2 linked regions of the Tribolium castaneum genome follow. The protein of the gene in region 1 binds, or shares a complex with, the protein of each later gene. Links are inferred from orthologs where the notes say so. Each region holds a gene or a part of one and is shown on either strand. Other genes may lie near its edges.

Region 1 (7,914 bases):
ACGTTCCAAATTGTCGTTTTATTTTAAAACGTGTTATTAGTTTATTTTTTAAATCCAGAATTTACATTTGCCTAAAAAATGAGTACACTATTGAGAAACCCGCAACTTCTCTCAAATGTTCAAGCAAAAGTGTCGGTATGAGAGTTGCTGTATTAAACTTTTCTTAATGAAAACCGTCTTTTATTTCAAAATATACATTTTGGACAATCTAAATGGTTCTTCTGTAGAATGCACAACTGTATTGCATACTGCTTTTGATATCGATTTAATTATTATTTACGTGATTTAAGTACCGGTTTGAAGATTTCGGGCTATCAATGCATGTAAAAAGTATCAAGTCGAGTGAATCCACAGATGATCAATGCTCTCACTGTGTTGATTTTCTAATTTCGCAAAGGTGAAGAAATCTTGACAGTTTTGACGGACTTCAAAAGTATAATTTTAAATTCGATAGTAGCGCCTTCTCTAGAGTGTATAATCGTTATTGTTGCCCTGTCAAGGTCCGTGTCGCTACTTTAGTATATCTACTGGCTTTGGTATTTACAACTCTAATAAAGACGGGTTATTATTAAGTTTGTGTCACCTTTATTTAAACTTTTATAAATCAGCAGTAAATCTCGAAAAAAAAATTATAATAAATTTTAAGCTCTTTGTTTTTATTTTTGAAATCATTACCAGTCAAAAAACCTGGTACACAGCCATATTTTCAAGATGGAGGCACTTCTGGATATATTTTTTATTTTAAGCAGTAAGCCATGTGTTTTGAAAACTTCCTTTTATAACTCGAGTAATTCACAATATAGCCGGGAAAGCCGCCATCTTGATTAAAACATAACGGGTTACAGCTGCATTCAAATTCTCAAAAGAATATCGTTATTAGATCTCCCAATATTTTAGATGTAAGGTTTAAAAAAAAACAGTAAGGTAAGAAAAAATTTTTTATTAACCACAAATACAAATTTACAAGAAAATCAGCAATTAAACATTATTTGTGTACCAACTGGCGGTGTGATCCCAACTTGGAAGACATCACTAACGAAGAAGTTTTAATCCTAGAAAATACAATGTTCCATTTTAACTTCCACAAAAACATTACACACGTTTCAAAATTAAAAAAAAACGAACCCAAACTCATTATTATTACAAAGGATTTTGGATGGGTTATCTATATTAAACTGCTAGAATTTCACAGAGATTTTATTTTGTACCAAAGGTACAAACAATAATTAAATAACACTTACGATCTCATTAAAATTGTTACATGTTAATATATTAGAAAAAAATTATTAAGATTTAAGCCAAAACTTACTGCTATGCCTTATACCTTTGATTTTAGTTGACTTTTTTCCTTTTTCGCTAATTGCTGCAGCTTCCCTGTTATCAGTAGCCATAGCCTCGTCAGTTCCATCAGAGCGTTCTTGTAATTGAGTTTTCAGAGTCTTTTTAATGTTACTAATCTACAAAAAAAATGCATATCTAAAACAAAGTAATGATACAAACTCGAAAAAAATACCTCTTGCTCCACTTCAGCTTTTCTCAACATTGATTTATTTTTTTCATTATTTGCTCTATGTATTTGTGTTTCAACACAAGCCAAAACACCTTCACAGGCCGAACACCAGTCTTGGAGACAATTCACAATTACATTAATGTCTTCAGGACGAATATCACGACCTATGGCATAATCAACCTCCAATTGACTATTTTTCTGGTCCAATTTTCCATGAATAATGTCAGCGTAAATCGCCTCAATTATTAAGTCCTCCAAATCACGAACATTTGTTATGCCTAGCTCTTCCAGAAGGGTGTTGTACGGAATACACTAAAAAAACATTGTTTTTATTATTACTTGCTCTAAGAAAAATCAATCAAATTTTGTTAAATTAGTAGATAGGCTGATTCTTTTAGAGCCTACATTAGAAACTTTAACTTCTAACATAGCTAGAGGTATGATTTGTTGAAAATGATGATTAAAAAATGATTATAAAACAGTTTTTCAAATGGAATTACCCAGTTTTTTAAATAGCAATCAAAAGAACATCAATTTTTATGCATACTTTTAATAACATCTTCTATATATCTATTTCTTACAGTATTTGAAATAATCGCAAAAAACAGAATTTTAGCTCATTATTTTCATTTTTAATCAAGTAAACTTTTGAAAAATACGATAAAATTGTACTGTTAACAAAAAGAAATGTCCTATTTATTTACCATTTTCATTCAAGAAGTTCAAGGATCAATGGCAAACTGACTGAGTTACTTTACATAATTCACTAACTTATAATAAACTATAATTAAATGTGATTATTTTACTGATTATTCGATAATGAAACAGCTAAAAACTAAATAAAAAATTGAAGTTTGATAATTGTTGACCATTTTGCAAGGTATACTTGATTAACTATGAAAACTACCAAGTAAAATCCGTTTTTTGTGATTTTTTTCAAAAACTGTAAGAGATTGGTATAGGACGTATTGATAAAAGTCACCATAAATATCGATATTCTTTCCATTGCCGTTAAGAAAATAGAGTCGTTCTATTAAAAAAAAGTTGTAGAGAAAAATGCAATGCAACTTTTTTACAAAGTTAAAAAATAGTACAATTTTGAACTGAATAGTTTTTGTGCAAAAATGCTTGAAAATGACGTAAATTTGTCGATAGTTTAATTATTTTTGACAAAAAATAAAAAAAAATTGCAGACTTTTTAGAAGATTTATTATAAAGTACGGTAAAAATTTCTAGTTTTTGGATCAAAAAGAAGCTTAAAATGTTTTTAATTTTTTTGTTTTCACTTTCAAAAAAATCACTCGTATTAGATACTGATAAATTCATTGTAGTAACAAAAACCGAGCAGAAAAGTTTGATTATCGCTAGGCAAAAATGGTTAAAAAATCTTTTTTTAATTTTTTTATATTTGTTTTTTTTGTTAACTTGAACATGTAACATGGTACAAATTTATGTCCCTTTTATGAATTTTAGGAATATACTCGATTATCTTTAGATTGTTATAGTAGTCAAAACAATGTACTGGGTGGCCGTTTTTTCAGCTCCACCATGGGAATCTCAGTTATTATACGAGATACGAGGTGGTTAAAATTTGGGTTTTAATTTTTTTCGAGTGAAAACCAAAAGAACTAGACGTTTTTAACTAGAACGTTCTTTAGGTACATTTTTACAAGAAATCTAAATCTGTCGTCCCATTTTCCAAGGCGTTCTTGATGTCAGTGTTACAACACTAAATTTTGTTTTTTCTTATGGAAGCCATATTTGCTTTTTGTATTTTTGAAGTGTTTTCATTTCCGATTACATCTATGTATCACATGATATAATCGAATCTTAAATGCTCATCAAAATGGAGAAAAAAGCATTTTTACAAAGAGTGCTTTGGAAAGAACGCCAACAATTTTTTTGTTTTTAAACAAACTAGATTAAACAAAATCATTAAGAGCTGATGACATTTTTATGCCGAAACATTCGCAAATTGCAATAACTTGTATTTTTTTTAATAAAAAATGATAGCCAAAAGCTGCATTAACATGCTTTTTTTGGATACCATGTGCTAACTGCTATTAAAACCATTGATAAATTTTAATACAATAATGTGCTCCGCCATCTACACAACACTATCGAAACTATCGAGAACGAGGACTTTTTATTTGTAGGTCGTGTCGTTTCCTAATCTATAGTTATCCATATTAAAAACTTAATTTCACTAAAGTGGAATTACTTTAACTACCTTTGATTTGGTGGCCAACGTAACAATGGTTAAATGTTGAAGCTTTTTCTTCTGAGCTGGGCTTAATTCAATTAAATCCTTCTTATTTGCTAGATAATCCTTGTAGGTTCCGTAAGCAAACAAGTTGAGAGTGTTGTAGAAATTTTTCTGTGGTGTATTACTCAACTACAAAACACTTAGTTAATGTATAAATGTAAAAATATGTTTGATTACCTCTTCAATGTTTTGCATGTGAAGTAATTCACCAAAAACGTAAACACCGGGGGCTTCCAACACTTGCTTGATCAGTTCGGAACAAGCAGCCCCTTTTGTTGACTTTGACAATAAAACAAATTGTTCCAAGGCATTGCCAGGGAAAGGATTTTTTTCAATAACCATTTTTTTAGTTTTTATTAGTTAATTTGTTGTTTTTGAAGCACTTTTTAAACACAACAACCGATCAGCTGTCACACGCTGCTGTCAAATGTCAAAGAAACATAATTGCGCCTGCGCAGCTTTTGACATAAAGCGGTAAATTTAAATTTGTTTAAAATTTAACAACATTGATTAAAGAAAGTAAGAAATAGTAGAAAATAGATACAATAGTTTTAATTATATAATATTTTTAACCCGGCTATATTTATGTTTGTGTTTGCTGCAATCCGTTGCTAATTACATTGTAAAATTTGTTTGATCAATACTTAAATTACAAACAAAACAAACGTAACTTCGTCTTCGGCTACAATGTTTCGAAATGAGGTAATAAAATATTTATACTTTAGTTTATTTATACTTTGTATTATTAGTTACAAGATGATGGAGATTTGCGGACTGAAATTTTTCATCTGAAGAAAAATTTATCCAACATTAGCACCGAAAATCGTATGCTAAAGGTGAAAATACGCAAATTGCAGAATGAAATTATTAAAAAGGATAAACAAATTGATGCTATATTGGATCCAAAAAAGGTAAAAAACTCTATTAAAAGTTTCAAGTTTTTAAACAATTTTAGTGTTTCGCTTTCTTTCGGAGAATTTGTTCTTTTATTTCTTTTAAGTTTTTCACAAAACATCATTGACACTATTTGTTTGTAATTTTATCCTTATATGACAATAAATAAATGATTTTCTTAGTAATTGAAGGTAAAACAATTAAATTTAGCTGTTATTATTAGGTTTATGTATAAAAAGTTTTGCTAAAATTACAACAAATTGGCGTCTATAAAACTTGTACAAATTTATTCAAATAAGTATAGTCAAATAAGGCAACAAATAAATCATACCGATAAATTAAATAGTAAATAAAAACCGAGCTTTAAAATTTAACCATCCTTAGGTAAGAAATGTCAAAGATTCCTTATTTTTATTTTTTTAATTCTCGGAGCCAAAAAAAACAGTTATATTAAATATACTAATAAATTAATTGAAGTAACAAAAGCCCAGCTTAAAAATTGTAAAAAATTCCACATAATTATTTTTTACTTTTGTTTTAATTTTGCTGTCTTACAGATAACTAATTGTGGTTATAAAAAACGAACGTTAAAATTATTTTTTTTTGGCAATAATTGTTAAAAATTCTTATTTAATTTTTTATTTTGATTTTCTTTTTAATTTTCGGTATCTAAAAAAGACGATCAATTGGAACAAAAACTAAGCTTAAAAAAGTATAATTATATAAGATATAAAAACTGTTAAGAATTCTTTATTTTTATTCTTTCTTTTTTATTTTTAGGATCAAAAAAGATAAGTCTTACTAATAAATTAATTGTAGTAATAAAATCACACTTAAAAATTTTATTGTCTTAAGGAAAGAAGTTTTAAAAATTTCTATTTTTATTTTACTTATTTTTTTTTCGTCAAAAAAATCTATTTTACTGATAAATTCATTGTAGTAACAAAAATACAATCGGAAAAATTTTATCATTTTCAGGCAACAATTGTTAAAAAAAAACATATTCATATGTATATGTATTTTTTTATTTTTGTTAAAAAAACAGTCTAACTCAAAAAGTAATTAGAGCAAAACCGAGCATAATAGTTTGATTGTCTTTGAACAAAAATTCCTTATTCTTATTTTTTATTTTTCTTTCTTTTTTAATTTTCAGTGTCAAAGAATAATCGATCTAACTCATAAATCAAAAGTATGATTATTATCTTTGAACAAAAAATGTTAAATAATTCTTTAATTTTATATTTCATTGTATTTTCTTTTTAATTTTTGGTGCCAAAAAAACAATCTTACTGATCATACCGAGCTTTAAAATCTCATTTACTTTCTTAAGATTTGTTAAAAAGTCCTTATTTTTATTTTGTTAAATTTCCAGTGTTAAACAAAAACAATCTGATTTATAAATTAATTTGGATAAAAAAACAGTTAAAAACTTGACTATCTTATACAAAAAATGATAAAAATCTTGTATTTAATTTTTATTTTCATTTTCAAATAAATTCATCTTATTGATAAATCACCTGATTGTAACAAAAAATGTTTGTCTTATCAAAATCTTTTTTTTAACTTTTATAACACTTTTTAATAAGAAATTACTCCAACAGTTAATAAAAAAACTCTGTTTTAACGTTATTTTTAGGTAAAAGTTGTTTATTTTATTTTATTTTGTGTAAAATTTTTGGTGTCATTTATCTTACTATTAAATTAATTGCAGCATAGACGTTTGATTTTGTTATTATCTATCGAATTTAAAAAAAAAACATTTTTTTTTATTGTAGCCCATAGAAGTCTCTAAAATTCTGTACGAACGGAGCGCCTCCTTTGTCTTAAATATGAAAGAAAAAAATGACGAACTTTTACAAATACTTCATGAAAAAGACATCATCATACGACGTTTGCAAAATCAACTTGGTGCAGCCAAATTATATTCCCAACCTCTCCAAAAACAATTCCAGAATAAATATTCGGATGATTTAAACTGGGACAATGAAATTGGACAAATTCAAATTAAAGTCCCTACTTTGAAAAATGTTAAACATACAATATTTAATGATGAAATAAAGAAAAAAACAAACAGGAGCTTATCATGGACTTGTGAAGCTGAATCTTCAGTCGAATTTAATAAAAAACATCAAAATGAAAGAAGTAAAAGTGGAGGAAAAGGTAAGTAAACATTTAAATCAATTGTTACCACTTATAGTCGTGTTTTAGATCAATACAAAAATTTTCTTTCAACAATTAAAGATTCAAATTCTCGACAAACAAGTTCTCGGAAATCAAGTCCGGAAAGTGATCTTGAACGAATTGAACTTCTTTGTGAAAGTCCACATGAAGAAATTCAACAACTGCATTCATATTTTCTCGACATTATTGCAGAACTAGGTCACTTAAAAAATACAGTGACTGAATTACAAATTGATAAAAATAAAACTGACTCTGCGATAAAAAAAGAAAAGTAAGTTTTACCCAATTTTTTATTATTTATGACAAGTATGATGTTAATATTTTTCTAGTTTTACAATCGATATGTTAGCCAAAGAACTAAAAAACTTGAGACTCAATAAACCAAAACCAAACAGAAATTATAGTAGAAGATTCCACAGTGCAGATCTAGTTGCAAAAGTGTATACGGCAAATAAGGTGACCAACAAAAGTGTAAAAGAAAATAAAAGCAAAGATAAAACCAAAGGGAAGAAAACAGGATCTGAGGGCACAAATGGCCCAAAATTCAAGTTCAAAAATAATAAGACTCAAGGAACCAAAAGTGTTATGGTTCAAGTAGACGATTTAAATGACAATACGGAATTTTCCAATCAGTGTCTTTACATTGAAAGAGATAATATTACAATAAAGGAAAAATCAAAATCACCTGATGACAGAGAAGATGAGTATGATAATGAAGTGTTTGAAGAATATGAAGCAGTTGAAACACCAAATTGAAGCACTTTCATTTTTAGATTTATTTTTCTAGTATACTTAGTTTTATTATTGTGAATTTTAATAAGTGAAAATAAAGCTCGATCGATTATGAATAAGAATTAGCCATTCGTTAACATGCATGTAAATTACTACCACTGGTGAATTATTTATGACTTGTTTTCTATCCAATTTTACAGATGTTGTTGTTCCAATATTATTTATTCATTTTTTGTATTGATTTGAATTCTACAAATCCAACATGATTGCAGACTTTATAATTTTTTGATGCTTATAAAATAATCATACCACATGTGGAGAGTTTCCCTTG
Region 2 (7,976 bases), on another chromosome or scaffold:
TAACAGCCAGTGGGGACAAAACTGCGAAATTGTGGGACGTGGAAACGAGACAAGTCGTCTCTGAATTCGTCCTAGGTTCGACAGTTGAAGATCAACAAGTGGGTTAAGCCACGCCCACTAACGTCCTCTTTTAAGTATATAATATTTTATAGGTTTCGTGTTTATGGCAAAACGAATACTTGCTCACGGTTTCTTTGAGTGGTTTTATTAATTATTTGGATATTAATGACCCAACGAAGCCGCTCCGGGTTGTTAAAGGGCACAATAAACCCATCACTGTCTTAGAATTGAGCGAAGATCGTGGTACGATCTTTACCGGGTCGCATGATGGTAATGTGACTCGATGGAACGCCGAAACTGGGGAGAACGATCGGGTTGAGGGCGTGGGTCATGGTAACCAGATCAATGGGATGAGGGTACATGGTGGTACTTTGTACACTTGTGGTATTGATGACTCTTTAAAACAAATCGACATTGAGGGCAACACGTACAAAGGGCAAGATTTGAAGTTGGGGTCGCAACCTCGCGGAATGGACATTTTAAAAGAGCAAAATGTGGTGGTCACAGCGAGTGTTAACGAAATCACCGTCTCGCAAGATAACAGGAAAGCAAGCACTTTGAAGGTTTGAAACAGTCAATTTCGAGCAGTGGTCTATGGCTTTAAAATTAAGTTGGCAAACTTGACTATCAAATGTCCCCAACACCAACAATTCAATATTTCCAACTTCATTTCAGTCAGAGATCAATGAGAAATTCAGTAAAGTGACAAGTTTCATAATTAGTTAAACAGCGAACTGTCATTTATACAAATAATAACTGTTAAAATTTTCAGTTTATCAAATTTACAATAGGATGTCTCACCTAAGACTTTCAAGCCCGATATTTCAGTTATTTGTCAACGGATTCTTATGAAATTTAAAAATCAGATATTTTAGAAGGTAAAGATTAGATATAATCCAACTCAATTCTTAAAAACGTCATTTTTACAAGCCTTCTTAAAATGTTAAATCATTTAAACTTGTACTAAAAAATATTTTTTTTGTGTGGCCACCTATTTTTCAAGATTTAATCATCTGATAATAGAAATTGGGCTTAATTTTAAATAAAAGAATTTTTTAACTTAATTTTTTAGCTCCTAATTGAAAAGCTCGAAAGTGTTAGGTGAGCCACCCTGTATGAAAGTTTTGACGAGTCGCTCTTTGCTGATTTTCTTTTTTTGAAAGCATTTGTTTTATCTTATTGACGAAAACAATTGAAGGTGTCTTATGAACCGTCAAGTGTCAGCGTTTCGCCGCGGGGTCACGTGGCTGTGGGTGGTGCCATGGACAACAAGGTGCATTTATACGAACTGAAAGGCACAGAGTTGGTACCCTTGCAAGAATTGGACCATTTGGGTGCCGTAACAGACGTTGCCTACTCTCCCGATGACAAGTATCTAGTGGCCTGTGATGCCCACAGAAAAGTCGTACTGTATAGTGTTCCTGAATACAAGGTAAGTTTTTGTGCGTCTGTAGTTACCATTGATGAAATTAATTGTTGCACGCATTCGGAACAGAATGTAAGTAATAACCAAATTTTAATTGTTTGCTTTTTACACATTTTTCGCGTTTTTGATTACAATAATCGTTATTAGCTCGCCACCAATCAAGAATGGGGTTTCCACAACGCGCGTGTTAACAGCGTTGCTTGGTCGCCCGACTCTTTGCTAGTCGCTAGTGGTAGTTTGGACACGAGTATCATTATCTGGTCTGTTGAAAAGCCCGCCAAACATATTATAATCAAAAGTGAGTAGTTTGTGTTAAGTAAGGGCGGAAAATAAGGGTTGTTTTCAGACGCTCATGCTCAAAGTCAAGTCACTAGATTAGCCTGGCTTGACGACCAGACTTTGGTCTCAGTGGGGCAGGATTGCAACACGAAATTGTGGACCATCACCAAGTTCTAATAATTTTTTTAAATGGCCTTTTTGCATTTAACGTAAAGCTTTTTTATTTATTACATACAGTAGGGTGATGCAGTGGCGGGCCTAACCGACGTGTCAATTAATTTATTTCAAGTATTGATTTTCTAATAGTGTAAATATTTAAATCGAGGAGTGTTATGATGAATGAAAAATCTGCTAAATCATCCAAATACTATAATCTAAAAAGTATTATTTTTGTTTATATTGAATAAATAGCTGTCTGATAAAGTTCAAGTTATTTTTTTGCGCTTCCTGGTGTGGTACTCCTCTGGGTGTCGGTACGAGACGTGTTTTCTCAAAGCGTCCCGACTTCGTGACACGTGGGGGCAAGACTGGCAGGCATGGTAAGCCTCTTCGTGGGTCTCCATGTGCACGCGCAAATTGTACTGATTACTGAGGTATTTGCCACAAAGGAAGCACTTGCAAGTTTCAGACAAGTCTTTCGCATGTTTTTTACTCGGAAGCGAGTAACTGTCGTCTTCTTCGTCGTTGTTTTTCAGGAAAGTTTCCGCAAAATCTGTAAGAAAATTAAGAGGGGACACCAACAAGCCGTTCGAGCTTACGTTCGGTTGCTTTTTCCGAACTTTCGGTTTTGTGCGCATTGTCGGTTGAGTTTGGTCTTTTTTCGCTTGAAATGTCGTTTAGTTGGGGTTTTTCAGGTACCTAACAAAATCTAGGTTTACGTTTGGTTACATAACGGGCCACGGTGCCAATAAGTAATTAGGGCTTTGGGGACTAACCTTCATATCACATAGTCCTTGTATTTTGAGGAGCTTGGCCAGGGAGAGCAGCCCTGGCAGCTGCTCCTTGGAGACCACGCACTGCCCCCTGTATATGAACGCCAGGACGGCCTTAATGTCGCTCAGGGCGACGTTATGCAGCACAATGACCGGATGCTGCGTGTCCCTCATTTCCTACAAGTGGGCGTAATGTCGTTTAAAAATAGACGGTGATTTCGCGAAAACTCACCTGGAACAGCTGGAAAAAGTACACACTGCACATTGCTAACACCAGTTTGTGCGCCTTAACGGTGTGGGATTCGACCGAGATGGTGACATCGGTGAGAACGTCGTTTTCGAGGAACGTGGTGAGGTTTTTGAGGAGGGTGAGCTCTTGGTAGTGCCATCGCAGGACGAACTGCTCGCTCATTGTGACGCGTCAGCTTGGATGGGAAAAATCGCAGGAACTGGCCCACAAACCCAGAATTTATCCAGCTTGGCTATTTTTAAAACTACTGGAGAACAAAACAGGTGCCAGCAAATTTGCTAACCTTTCAATTTCAAACGGAAATAACACGACGGGTTTATTGTTATTTGGTTTATTTTTACGTAGCAGGGGCTTATCAAAATTAAAACCGATTTTCACAATTGGGTGATTGGTTTATAATTAGACGCCTAAAATTAATCGTTACTCATTAGCTAATCAACTCATAAATGCACAGATGGCAACGGTGGTTTCCTTAATTTACAAAACAATATTTTACAACTGACACAAAGTCGCGTCGATCTGGGTTAGAGAGGGCGCGATCATCTTCAATTTCCTCCTGTACATCGGGTCCTTCTCGAGCGGATTCCGCTCCAAGTAAACTGTAGCCAGCTTTTTGTTCTTCGATAAATTCTCGACAGTTCCCCAATCGGAAACTTCATTATCATTCATCCAAAACTCCTCCAAGTCGTTCAAATGCTCGATGTTTTCAATCAACTTTATTTTATTTTTCGCCAAATCCAAGGTCTGTAGCAACGTGTTATGCGTAAGATTTTCTATTTTATGAATTCCGTTCTCGGAAATGTACAGTTCGGTCAATTGTGTGAGCTTATCCAAATTCTCGATACGCGTTATTCGGTTGCTTTGCAGGCTCAGACACGTCACGTTGGTCAGACTGTCCAAGTTTTTTATTTTTGATATTTTATTTTTGCCCAAGTAGAGGTGGGTCAGGGCTGGCATGTTTTCCAGGTTCTCTATGTCCTGCAATTAGGACGGTTTTAGAAGTCACAGATTATGACTAACAACTGAAAACACTCAAAGGATAAACTACGAAGATCTAAAGGTTAGAATATGAAACGACGTACAAATAAAACGTTCTCGTCCTCGATAGCTCCGTTAATGTCGCCAGAGGGCGCATTTCAAAACATGGTTGTATTTTTATTACTGTTCACACATAGCAAACAAAAAAAAACAGGCAGATATAGCATTAAATTCTCAATATTCAGAGATAAACACAGTGCAAAAATTTTATCGTAAACTTTTACCAATTTTGCACTCTGTCAGATATTTTTCAAAACGCTGCGAATACGGTTACAGATACAAGAAAAATGTTAGGAAGAAAATTGTAGAGAATTAAATTTCCTACAAAAAAGTCCGCGAGACCATGTTCCTATCTTGAACCATTTAGGCCCCAAAGTCGTTCAAAGACGCTCAAGCAACGGATTTCCTTAATTTTGCCGGTGGTCAAGTATTGGAAAGTTAATTCGTACCTAAACTATTAAAGATAGAAATATGGTGTCGCGGACTTTTTTGTAGAAAATTTTATTCTCTACAACTTTGTTCCTTACACTTTTTTTGTATCTTCAACTGTATTCGCAGAGCTCGCAGAAATATAAGGTGGAACGCAAATTGATAATTCTAAGCGATAACATTTATCAAAACGCTGGGAATACGGCGCAGTTTCGTCTCCTAAGTTATTATCCTCCATAGGATAAACACTTACCCTAATTTTGTTGTCCCCCAGCTCCAGCATTGTCAGCTTCTGCAAGTGCTTCACATTTTTGATTTTGCTGATTTTGTTCGACGACAGGAAGAGTTTTTCTAAATTGTGCAAATTCTCCAGTCCCTCAATCTCCTTGATACGATTAAACGACAAATCTAGAATCCTTTTAAAGCCATATTTCGCAACATTCACAAATGAGTCACTCCTTACTCTAAATTAACCAAACATCCCAGATTTTCCATTTTGACGATTTGGTTATCGTACAATTCCAATTCGCGGAGCGTGACTAACGTGTCCAAATTCTCAATTTTGGTGATCAAATTCCACCTCAGGAAGAGGCGCTCGATTTGTGTCAAGGGCTCAAGGTTTTCGAGCTTGCTGATCCTGCCATGGTTTAGGTCCAGCTCAAGGGTGTCCGGGTCTATTACCATTATTTCGTTGACAGTGGCCCCTTTTTCCTTATTGTCGTTCGAAGTGGACGTCTCTGGGGCTAACAATGAGCATGGACTTTCGACGAAAGTAACGAATTCTCTTACCGGGCTCGGGGGAACTCTCGTTTTGTTGCGGAGAAGGCATTTTTCGCACTCACACTGGACTATTTCTGTTTATTGCAATTTAATTAAGTGACTAATTTAAAGGCGGGTGACAGCAAACATCCGTGACGTTTGAGTTTGACTTCAACACGTGCAGCCAACCTATTAAATCAAATCGTCTTCCCCTTAACCCCTTATTCACACGTTAATTAAAGTAAACTGTACTTGCAATTGGTCGCAAGTATTTATTTACAGAGCAAAGACAACAATTTACTTGCAAGTGTGTTTTTTAGACAAAATTACCACAACCGGCAATAGCGTTGTGTTGGCAATTGCTGTTTTGTCAGTCATTTGTCAAAAACTACTTTTAGTTAAATTAAAATAATTTATTATTATTTGTGGCCAAAATAGTAGCGGAGCACCATGTCGGAGAAAAGCGCGGCTATCCGCACCCAACTCTCCAACATAATCGCGTCCGGGGGCTCCCACAAAGACCAGGCCGAAAAGTGAGGTTATGTAAAAAAAATTAAAAAAAACATTAATTTTTAACAGATATCGCGGTATTCTTGAGAACATCCTCGCCGGTTCGGGCCCCGAGCTGACCGAAGGCTTGCAGATATTCATCGAAGCAAGTCCGTACCCCCCACAGCCACCAACCCAGTCTAACTCAAGTCGTTTCAGTTGTCAATGAGAACGTTAGTTTGGTCATCTCGCGCCAAATCCTGACCGAAATAAGCTCGCATTTGATGAAACTACCCGACGATGTTTCCAAAACTGTCTCACACTTTATGCTTGAGAAGGTGCAACCCCGGGTTATTTCGTTTGAGGAGCAGGTGGCAAGTATTCGCCAACATTTGGCCGATATCTACGAACGTAACCACATGTGGCGCGAGGCTGCAGCTGTCCTGGTGGGAATCCCGCTCGAAACCGGCCAGAAACAATACACCGTGGATTACAAACTTGAAACGTATTTGAAAATCGCGAGGTTGTATCTTGAGGATGACGATCCGGTCCAGGCTGAGGCTTTCATCAACCGGGCGTCGCTGCTTCAGGCCGAGTCACGGAATGAGCAGCTTCAAATTTATTACAAAGTTTGTTATGCTCGAGTTTTGGATTATCGGCGGAAGTTTATTGAGGCGGCTCAGAGATACAATGAATTGTCCTATAGGACGATTGTTCATGAAGATGAACGCATGACAGCCCTTCGGAATGCTTTAGTTTGCACTGTTTTGGCTTCAGCGGGGCAACAAAGATCGCGCATGTTGGCCACACTGTTCAAGGACGAGAGGTGCCAACAGTTGCCAGCAGTGGCGATTTTGGAAAAAATGTACCTCGAAAGAATCATCAGGAGGTCCGAATTGAGGGATTTTGAGGCCTTGTTGCAGGTACGTGTATAAAAAGTGTTGTATTGTTAGTTGCATAACTATGATAAATTTGTATTTTTTTGAGTCCTTTGTACAATTAAATACTGAAAAATTATTGACATAAAAGTATCATCTTGAATTAAATTGATTGAAACAAGTTTTAAAGAAAATCTGCAAAAGCAATAAAAATACTAATACCATTTGTTAATTTGATAATCAGTATTATTAATTATTATTAATATTATAAATAAAATTATTATTATTAATTATCACCCTTACAAACGTATAATCATAAAATGAAGATGAATGTATTCAAATACCAACACAAGTAATATCTCTCTTAAGGGACACCTCCGATAAGCGGACCCCTCTGACAAACGGGCCTTTTTTTAGATAATGTATTTTAAGCGGACGCTCCAATAAACGGACGCGCACAATGCAATTCAAATCCTTGGAAACAAAATATCTCCTTTAAGCGGACAGCACATCATACGCGCGTGTGATTAATAGTTATTATGACAATTGATCAAAAAAATCGGGGAATCACATAAGTAGGTAGTACATGTTTTATGGAAGTGTAACGTTTGTGAAAAGCGAAGCCTTTTATTTTAGTTTGTTTTTATATATAAATTGCTATTTCTTTTCCATTAAGCGGACAAAAAGCATGTCGGTGTCCGCTTATGGGAGGTTTCACTGTAACCCTAACTTTTTTCTCAGATGATTTATTCCCGATGTCATTTTAGGAACATTTTTTTGTCTCATTAAAGTATTATGGTGAAATAAGATTGCTGGTTTAGCACGTTTTAGGTTTCTGTTTAATCAGAGCCGGATTACGGTTACACTTTGTGTAATGCATGTGCTTTAAATAGTTCACACAGGGAAAAATGAAATGTGTGTTAAGTTATCTACTGATATTTCCTCCTTGTAAATGCCGATGAACTCCACTGTGAGTTTAATTTAAGCAAAGCTGCGTTAAATTTAACCTTTGTCTACTTTTGACTTAGGTTTAGTACCAATAAAAACGATTTAATTAAAGTTCTTAATTGATTTCATATTTATTTAATTGATTTTTTATTTACAAAAAATGAATTTCATAATACTGTTGACGTCGATATTTGTCTACGTCGAAATAATGCGCGCCGAGACGGATTCCAGAAATCTAATAATAAACTGATCATCTATATAACATCTCACGAGGTTATTTACGTGTGAGAATAAAAAAGTAATGTGATGCAACGGAGCAACTAATTGAGGATAATACTCTTTATTGTTTAATATCGTCACACTTTGTAAACACAGTGATGCATGAGTTGTTTGCCGTAATTGCAGGTCTTATCACTTGCTTAATTAACGGGAATTAACTAACGCTTTATTATCACAATGTTGCAAAGGTTAAGCGACCTCTTATAAAA

The links.
Region 2: CSN7 (region 1) and CSN4 share a complex: the UniProt entries of both Drosophila melanogaster proteins name them as parts of the CSN complex. The link is inferred for Tribolium castaneum from reciprocal best matches to the Drosophila melanogaster genes CSN7 and CSN4.

The regions. Positions count from the first base shown.
Region 1 is NC_087395.1:495,332-503,245, reverse strand, and holds CSN7 (COP9 signalosome complex subunit 7b), read right to left. Parts: upstream 4,216-7,914; 5' UTR 4,119-4,215; coding exon 3,954-4,118; intron 3,906-3,953; coding exon 3,741-3,905; intron 1,823-3,740; coding exon 1,514-1,822; intron 1,458-1,513; coding exon 1,287-1,457; 3' UTR 1,180-1,286; downstream 1-1,179. Other genes in the region: IQ domain-containing protein E-like, read left to right, coding at 4,464-4,478, 4,526-4,687, 6,446-6,830, 6,879-7,122, 7,181-7,607. UniProt on the Drosophila melanogaster protein: Component of the COP9 signalosome complex (CSN), a complex involved in various cellular and developmental processes.
Region 2 is NC_087399.1:5,886,028-5,894,003, forward strand, and holds the start of CSN4 (COP9 signalosome complex subunit 4), read left to right. Parts: upstream 1-3,109; 5' UTR 3,110-3,127; coding exon 3,128-3,210; intron 3,211-3,262; exon of another isoform or gene 3,263-3,439; coding exon of another isoform or gene 3,440-3,925; intron 3,926-4,667; coding exon of another isoform or gene 4,668-4,830; intron 4,831-4,877; coding exon of another isoform or gene 4,878-5,151; intron 5,152-5,203; coding exon of another isoform or gene 5,204-5,243; exon of another isoform or gene 5,244-5,358; intron 5,359-5,483; exon of another isoform or gene 5,484-5,623; coding exon of another isoform or gene 5,624-5,706; intron 5,707-5,752; coding exon 5,753-5,832; intron 5,833-5,881; coding exon 5,882-6,585; intron 6,586-7,976. Other genes in the region: flr (actin-interacting protein 1), read left to right, coding at 1-98, 153-623, 1,259-1,492, 1,634-1,784, 1,833-1,942; longitudinals lacking protein, isoforms H/M/V, read right to left, coding at 2,191-2,477, 2,524-2,623, 2,701-2,874, 2,930-3,109; sds22 (protein phosphatase 1 regulatory subunit 7), read right to left, coding at 3,440-3,925, 4,668-4,830, 4,878-5,151, 5,204-5,243. UniProt on the Drosophila melanogaster protein: Component of the COP9 signalosome complex (CSN), a complex involved in various cellular and developmental processes.